2 linked regions of the Rattus norvegicus genome follow. The main gene of each other region encodes a partner of the protein of the gene in region 2 in a complex. Links are inferred from orthologs where the notes say so. Each region holds a gene or a part of one and is shown on either strand. Other genes may lie near its edges. The genes, in order: Dffa and Dffb.

Evidence for each region.
Region 1: the proteins of Dffb (region 2) and Dffa are in contact, whole or in part, in an NMR structure (PDB 1F2R), measured with the Mus musculus proteins. The link is inferred for Rattus norvegicus from reciprocal best matches to the Homo sapiens genes DFFB and DFFA. Residues at the interface, in NP_031885.3 of Mus musculus: Cys10, Lys12, Arg14, Ala19, Cys20, Lys21, Phe22, Gly23, Val24, Ala25, Ala26, Arg39; in NP_001020467.1 of Mus musculus: Asp66, Thr68, Ile69, Val70, Asp71, Asp72, Asp74, Tyr75, Trp94, Tyr96, Asp100.

Annotation. Positions count from the first base shown.
Region 1 is NC_086023.1:164,833,523-164,837,253, reverse strand, and holds the end of Dffa (DNA fragmentation factor subunit alpha), read right to left. Parts: intron 3,526-3,731; coding exon 3,336-3,525; intron 3,155-3,335; coding exon 3,003-3,154; coding exon of another isoform or gene 2,988-3,002; exon of another isoform or gene 2,058-2,987; coding exon 1,854-2,057; 3' UTR 525-1,853; downstream 1-524. UniProt on the Homo sapiens protein: Inhibitor of the caspase-activated DNase (DFF40).
Region 2 is NC_086023.1:169,806,876-169,810,683, reverse strand, and holds part of Dffb (DNA fragmentation factor subunit beta), read left to right. Parts: intron 1-540; coding exon 541-641; exon of another isoform or gene 642-3,808. UniProt on the Homo sapiens protein: Nuclease that induces DNA fragmentation and chromatin condensation during apoptosis. Degrades naked DNA and induces apoptotic morphology.

The sequences.
Region 1 (3,731 bases), about 5.0 Mb from region 2:
GAGAATGAATGTAATTCCCAGAATTATTTTAGCTTGAAACCTTAATTCTTCTTCTTTTAATTTTTAATTTTAATTTTTCTTCTTCTTTTAAGCCAGGGTGTTCCACTTTGTAACCTTGGCTGACCTGTAGTTCACTATGTAGGTAAGTGTGGCCTCAGACTCACAGAGATCCTCCTGCCTCCCAAGTTCCAGGATTACTTTAAGTTATTTTTAGTTTTAGTGTAGCCTGGATTTCTAGGAACACACATTTAAGATGTAACCCAAGGGCAGGTGATATCCTGTTCAGAACTTCATCGTTTGGGTGACCTCTTTGCTGGGACAGTGCTGCCCTGCTGTCTGACAACTGTCTGTCAGCTTGCCTGTGTCAAATCCGGGGTGATCTGATGCTGACAGAAGCACCTGGCAGCTTTGACGCCTGGTCACATACAGTGCAACATACACACCATTTTACTGTAAAGGGTCCTCTTTGTGTCTGTGTACTGTGACTCGGAAGGGATTAGTGTTTCTGAACAAACAATGGCGGGTGATGGATGATCAGCAATGGCTTTTATTCAGGGACTGAGAGGCACCACAAAGATGTGGGAAGAGCTTTGATGCCAACATTTGGAACTGGTGCTGTCAGGCACTACAAGATCTGAAAGTTGCACCAGGCCCCCCCTGTAGGCAAGGACACAATTACTTTTATTTGCTTCGTGCACCCCACCTTTACCCCAAGACTTAATGCTATATTTCTTTGTCAACGTGAGGCTGGGGTGTGGTTCATTAGGGGGCACGAGCTCAGTGTCTATGAATAAAATCTTAGTTCAATTCCCAGTACCCAGAAAACACACGCACACACACACACACACACACACACACACACACACACACACACACACGAAAAAAAAAGACGAGAGCTAGAGACCCTCTTCTTCTTCCCAGCACGCATGAAAGTCAGATGACCCGTAACTAGGTGTCCGTTCCCTGAAGGCAGACAGCACTGTCGATTGCAGAAGGTGTAGAACTCTGAGCAGAAACAGCAGAGAAAAGCTGGAAGTGACCTGATCTGCAGAGAGAAACCTGAGTCGCAGAGCATGGGACTCAATGATCCTTTCTACCCCCTGCTGGCAAAACATATTAGAAAATGGACTGGAGTCTCACAGCGGTAACAGCTTCACAACACTGAGTCAGATATTAGAAATGGGGGCTTAGACTCCATGTCCCTGGGGTCTGCAGACTCAGTATGTGCCTTTAAGCGGACAGCAACTGCATTCATTAACTTGAGAAGGAAGTTCATGGCCACCACTGCTGCTGTTGGGTGCCTTTTTTCTACCACTGTGTCTAACGCTCTATTGTTCAAGTTGTAGAGTAAGGACATCGAGTCCAAAGTATGACAGGTTTTCATTGCCCTAGACGGGTACTTTCACTTAACCTAAGGCCAGCACACGATAAGTGCATTCTGGGAGCTGGAGATGGCTCAGGGGCTAAGAGCACCGGCCCCACTTCCAGAGGACCCAGAGTCGATTCCCAGCACCCACACGGCTGCTGAGAGCTGTCTGTTACTCCAGCTCCAAGGGACCCGACACTCTCTTCTGGCCTTCATGGGCATGAGGGATACAGATATACGTGCAGGCAACACACCCACACAGGTAAGAAAACAGAACGAAAACCCAGGACATTGAAAGGAGGTAGAGGGGTATGCACAGACAGGGAACAGCTTTTCTGGAGCGAGGAGAGCTCACCGCAGGGCGGGAGGTGGAGGGAGTGCGGGTGGGAACGAGGTCACGAGGTCACAAGGTCACAGACAGGTGTTTACGGACCTCAGAACCGAGGTTCTCCTCTGCAAAGCTTGTCCGGTTTGGCTATGAGAAGTCTCACACTTTGGCCCGTTTGGGACTCTGCGGGTCCCCAGGCAGTGGCTTCCTCTTTGCAGAAAGATTCCTGAGTGAGTGCAAGCTCTGCACTTGCTGCAGGCGCAGGGCGAGCTCCGTGGTACAGGCCTGCTGGACTGTCTCTGCCTTCTTTATGTCCCAGCTCAGAGCGACAGCCAGGGCTTTGGGGTCCTCCTTGGAGACCGACTGCAGCAAGAAGAAGAACCACTGAGACGGCAGCTCTGCGCCCCTCTCTGGGCTGCTTTCTCCTCTTTTAGAGACGGGGCCGGACTGCGGCCCGGGCCGGCCTGGGATGCACTAGGATGTGCCTGCCTGCCTGCCTTCCCACTCCTCTCTTTCCTTTGGTTTTTTTTTCAATACTGGGTTTCTCTGTGTAGCCCTGGCTGTCCTGGAACTCATTCTGTGGACCAGGCTGGCCTCAAACTCAGAGATCAGCCTGCCCTGCCTCCTGAGTGCTGGGACTAAAGCTGCGTGCACCACCACCTGGCTATGATGTGCCTTTCATGACACTCACATCGATTTAAAGTCCCCCAAGCACAACAGGAACTGAATTAAGCTCAAGTTAATCTAATTCCCTTCCCTTCTGTCTAGGGCCGGGAGGTACTTGGTACTCTGTACAGGGTGTGCCTTGTGACTGTTGGCCCAGTGCTGATCTTCAGCCACAGCCTTAAGTACAGACTCATGGGTCTTTGACTCTTTTACCTTGAAGTCACCTCAGAAGCTTCGGCCCGCAGTTCCTCCCAATTTGAACAAAGGACTAATGTTTGATGACCCGAGGATACGCATCCCTTTTCTTTTAAAGGTCATTTGGAGCTGATCGTTGGTGGCACAGACCTTTAATCCCAGCACTCGGGAGGCAGAGGCGGGCAGATCTCAAGGCCAGCCTGGTCTACAGAGCAAGTTCCAGGACAGCTAGGGCTACACGGAGAGACCCTGCCTCTTTCCCCCTGGAAAAGGCCAGTTGGACTTTACATTAAGTGAGATGTTTGCAAATGCTTTGGCTGTGTTTAAAGGCAAACTGGCAGCTGTGAGTCAGCGAGGGGAAGGGAATCCACATACGTGCGTCTGCACCTCCAAACTCTACTTCCAAGGAAGTCATTCTGCAGTTCTGGGTTCCTAGTTCTTGCCCACCTCTAAATCCTGACTAGACAGACTCAGCTCTGGAGCCGGCTTCTCCTTCAGGGCTGCGAGGATCTGGCTTCTCAGCATCACTTCTGAAGCCACCTCTCCGCCGACGCCGGTGTCAACTGCATCCAGCTCTTCCCCAAGGGCAGCTTTGGACTCTGCAATGCAGACGAGAGAGTAAGCGGCGACTATGAGAAAGCAGTCCCCAGCCAAGCAGGCAAGCTCAGTGGGTGAGAGAAGCATCCTGCCCAGGGACATCACCCTCAGGGAACTGGGCTGCTCTGCAGACAAGGCCCCGCCCTCAAGGCTGCTCCTGAGGAGCTGCAGTGGGAGTCTTACCGTTCTGGTTGGACAAGATGCTGCCCTCTTTCTCCAAGGCCTGGAGATAAAGTTCCAGGAGCTGCTTGGACTGGCGTGCTTCCTCTCTCTGGTCAAGCACCTGCTGGAGCGTGCTCTGCAGCCCCTGGACAGTGGCACAACTCTGGCAGAGTTCCTGCGCCAGCTCTGCACAGGGGATGTCGATGAGTGCCTGGCATGGGATAAAGGCTCTGAGAAAACGAAAACACAGGGCAGCGCAGAAGCTCTCCAGTGCATCCATTTCAGAACTGGGCCATCTTTTCCTCAAGTTCCTTTCAGAGAAGAAGGTTTGACATCCCCGAAATTCTAGTGTGAAGACTGGGGAAATGAATCCTCCACTTAGAAATTCAGCTACGTGGGTGGAGGGCAAGAGGGCTG
Region 2 (3,808 bases):
AGATCCCCTGGAACTGAAGTTACAGGCAGTGGTGAGCCACGCGTGGCGGTGGGAGTCAGACCTGGGTCCCCCAGAAGAACAGTCAGTGCTCTTCATCACTGAACTGTCTCTCCAGCCCCAAAGAGAGAAATTTCAGTCTCCACCAAAACCAAACAATTTTTGTTTTTGAAGATGGAGTGTTACTGTGTAGTTAAGGCTAGACTTAAGCTTTTGTGTATATGTGTGTAATGTTCGTGTGCACACGCCATGGATGAACCACACCTGGCCTTCACACAGGCTGCGGGGATCACACCTGGTTCCCACGCTTATGTGGAAGGCACTTTTTCCTCCTGAGCCACCTCCCTGGCCTGAATGTAAATCCTCCTGCCTTTGCCTCCCTGTGCTGGGGATAACAGGTGCTGACACCGCCTGTTCAGATGTCTGTTGGTGAACTAAACATCTTGTGGGGCCAGTTCCTTAGCAAGCTTGATGGCCGGGAAGAGAGCGGGAAGGGTCCTCACTGCTGTCTTCCCAACCCCTGTCTGTTCTTGCTCACTGCAGGGCCCCTTTGACTTGGAGAGCTGTCTCTCCAAACACTCCATCAACCCCTATGGCAACAGAGAGAGCCGGATCCTCTTCAGTACCTGGAACCTGGACCATATGTAAGTGTATGCCGCCAGGACTCAAGTTCTCTAACCAGAACCAGCCCAGCATTGTGGGGTCCAGTGCCTGCTCAGCATCTCAGGTCTGGTGCATTATACCTGTGCGGTTCAAGCCCACATGCTTCACGGGAAGGGTTCTAGAGAGATGCCACTGCCTTACCAGCTGTCCATGCCTGATGCTAAGCTGCCCCTCTGCCCTCCGTCTGTCCCTCTGTCCCTCTGTCCCCGTCTGTGGTTGGATATGGTGGCCTGGCTCTTGATGGCCAAGTTTTGGTCCCCAAGAGGCTGTTGCTGTGTGTTTGAACTGGAGGAGCCAGCTCCAGGGTGTGGTATGGGAAGGCAGGGCCAGCAGGATGGTTTCACAGCGGGGCAAGCTACAGTCTCTTCTGTTGAACCCGGGTAGGGCAGTACCACATTTCTGTAGCTGTGGTACTTTCTTAACTGTAACTACCCTTGACCTTGCTTTACGAAGGCAAAGTGTTCCAAGTACCCACAAACGACTTCTCAACTCTTGATACCAGAATAACTAAAAGCTTACAAAAAGTGATTGTAGCTGAGGACCCACCCCTTGATCCCTCTGTGCTCAGTGCCCTGTCCCTGTTGCCAGGGAAACACTGTCCTGCAACGTGCCTCATTAACGCCCTGTTCATGTACCGTAACCTTTACCCGGGTGTGTGCCGCCACTCTCTGGCTCTGCACCATGTATACATCCACACAACTCAGGGGAACAGCCCAGACGTCTTCACTTCCCGCAGACTCTGACTTCACATTTGTTCGCCTGCCAGGCATTCAGGCCATTCTGAGTACTCGCCGATATCCAGGGCTGGGATAGACGCTCTGAGATGAAGCATTAGTTTCCCAGTTCCATGCCCGACAGTGTGATCTGTGGACTGGCTGCACCCAGAGCTGGTGAGGAATGCACTCGGGCCCCACCCAGCATCACAGGGGTACCCTGGGGCCAGTGCACACTCCAAATGAGGGACTGCCCTGGCTCCGACCTCCAGTCTCTTTGGGGGAATTAATGACTGTGGTCACCTTCGGAGTGCTTCCAGACTTTTCTGGCTGTTCTCGTGATTGTAAGTCAGTTCCGGCCCCCACCACCACTCGGTGTCACTGTGCCCCTGCATCCTCCTGCCTGAGGTGGGCACCCACTTAGCTGCCTCTGTGGCTCTCCGCCACCACAGCTCTCAGGCTGCTTCTCCTCGCTTGCTGTTTACTTTTGTCCTGGGCACTAATTCTTTCCTGACTGTTGGTGTGACAGACGTCGTTGCTGTATTTTGGGCGCATTTCTGATGTCTCTTATCACGACCAGATAGGGCGGCTGTGGTGAGCCCGAGAAGACCAGGCTCCCCCTCTTGGGGTCTGAGGTACCGTTTGCAGCACGCCGGCTGCAGGCCAAAGTGTGCACAGACCCTGCGATTCCTCCTGCAGGTGCAGGGGCATCTGCTCGCCCCCGTTGTCTGCAGCTGCCTCTGCCCTGCGCTTAGGTGCAGCTGTGTTGGATTTTATTTTCACTTCTAGTTTCTGCCCCTTTGGGCTTTCTCTTTGCTCTCTAGATTTGCCTCTTGTGTTTTAACGAATGCTCAAGGCTGCTTCTGTCCAGCTGCTCCCGAGGTTGGTGTTTCGGGATCAGGGCGGCTGCCCGTTCTGATGTGCCTTTGGCCTGTCTATCTGTCTGTCTATCTGTCTGTCATTTCATGCTGCTCTGCTCATCCTTTCTGGGCTCTGGTATCTGTAAGAGGCCAGGACTCTGGGTTTCTGTTACCATCACGGGGGTTGGGAGGGGCTCCTGGTATCTCTTGTCAGCGCATTAGTGGCAGCGGCCATTTTTGCCTTGTCTAATGGAGATCATCCTGTACTGGTCCCTTGTCCCGGTGTCGAGACATAGTGGCTGGTTCAGCATGTGTTCAATATTTTGTTGCACGAATAAGTGGGTTTCAATTAATCTCATTTGCCATTTGCTGTACCTCCTGTGTGCCTGGTCTCAATGTGCATCCTGGGCCTGTCTGTCACCTCTCTCTTCCAGGCCTCTTTTCTCAACGTTGCCCCACCTGACCTCAAACTTGCACAGTGGTCACATCATCATGGTCACTGCCTACTTACGTCTCCCACTCCTCTGCTCACCGCCTCCTGTATCTCCCTGCTCCTGCTCTGAGCTGCCAATGAGCGGTCCTAGCACTTCTGTAAGGAGGGTCCCTCCCTCTTGCCACTGCTGTCACTGAGTGCTGGAGAGGGGCTGTCTCACACTGAGTCTGGGATCACAGGCATCTAGGTCTCCTGTGTACTCCGTGAGGGAGACCGATCCCTGTTTCCTGGTGGCTGCCATGGAGCTGCTGCCAGTGGAGAATGGCTTGATTTATTCCCCTTAACTGACAGCAATACACACCAGGGACAGACCTTTCCTTTCGGCCCTGCCGTGACTCGTCCTCCATTCTGCAGAGTTCTGATTCTCCCCTGCAGTCTCTTGGATTCCCGTGGGTGTTCTGGAACCTTCTTGCCGCCCACCCTCTTTATGCTGGGTCTGCTTGCATGCTCTGGCTCAGTGCTGCTGTTTTAGGGTAACTTCCCGCTGTGGACCCAAATGTGGTCCCTCCTATCCCAGACACACATTGCAACTGTCACCCAGTGAGACCACATCTGGAGATGGGTCCTTTGGGAGACAGTTAAGGTAAAGTGAGACCATAGGGTGTGGAGTAATCCAGGGAGAGCAGATGTTCTTGTGAGTGGGAGAGCATGGGGATGTTCTCATTGCTATATGAGGACAGGCCAGGAAGTGGACCCTGACCAGACCAGACCAGACCAGACCACTGTGAGCCTGGGCCAGACTTCCAGGCTCCAGAACATTGAGGAGATAAACGTGGGGGAGGCCTTGCAACTGTGTTTGGACCTGAATTTCTCTTTGGTGACCAGTCTTCTGTTGTGGCTTGTCAGTGCCTCTGCGGAGTAGATCTAAATTTGTTCCTTATGGAGCCCCAGTTTCAGTGGCTCTGAAGTAACATGACATTGTGCTTGCTTGCCATGTCTGTGTCACACTGGTCATACATGTTTGGCTTATGTGCCTGTGGGAGACACAGGCCTGGGGCTCTGTGGGCAGCTGTGTAAAATGGGTACATGAACAAATGGAGGTCAGCAGAGGCTGACAAGGGCTCACGCATGAGACTCTGCTC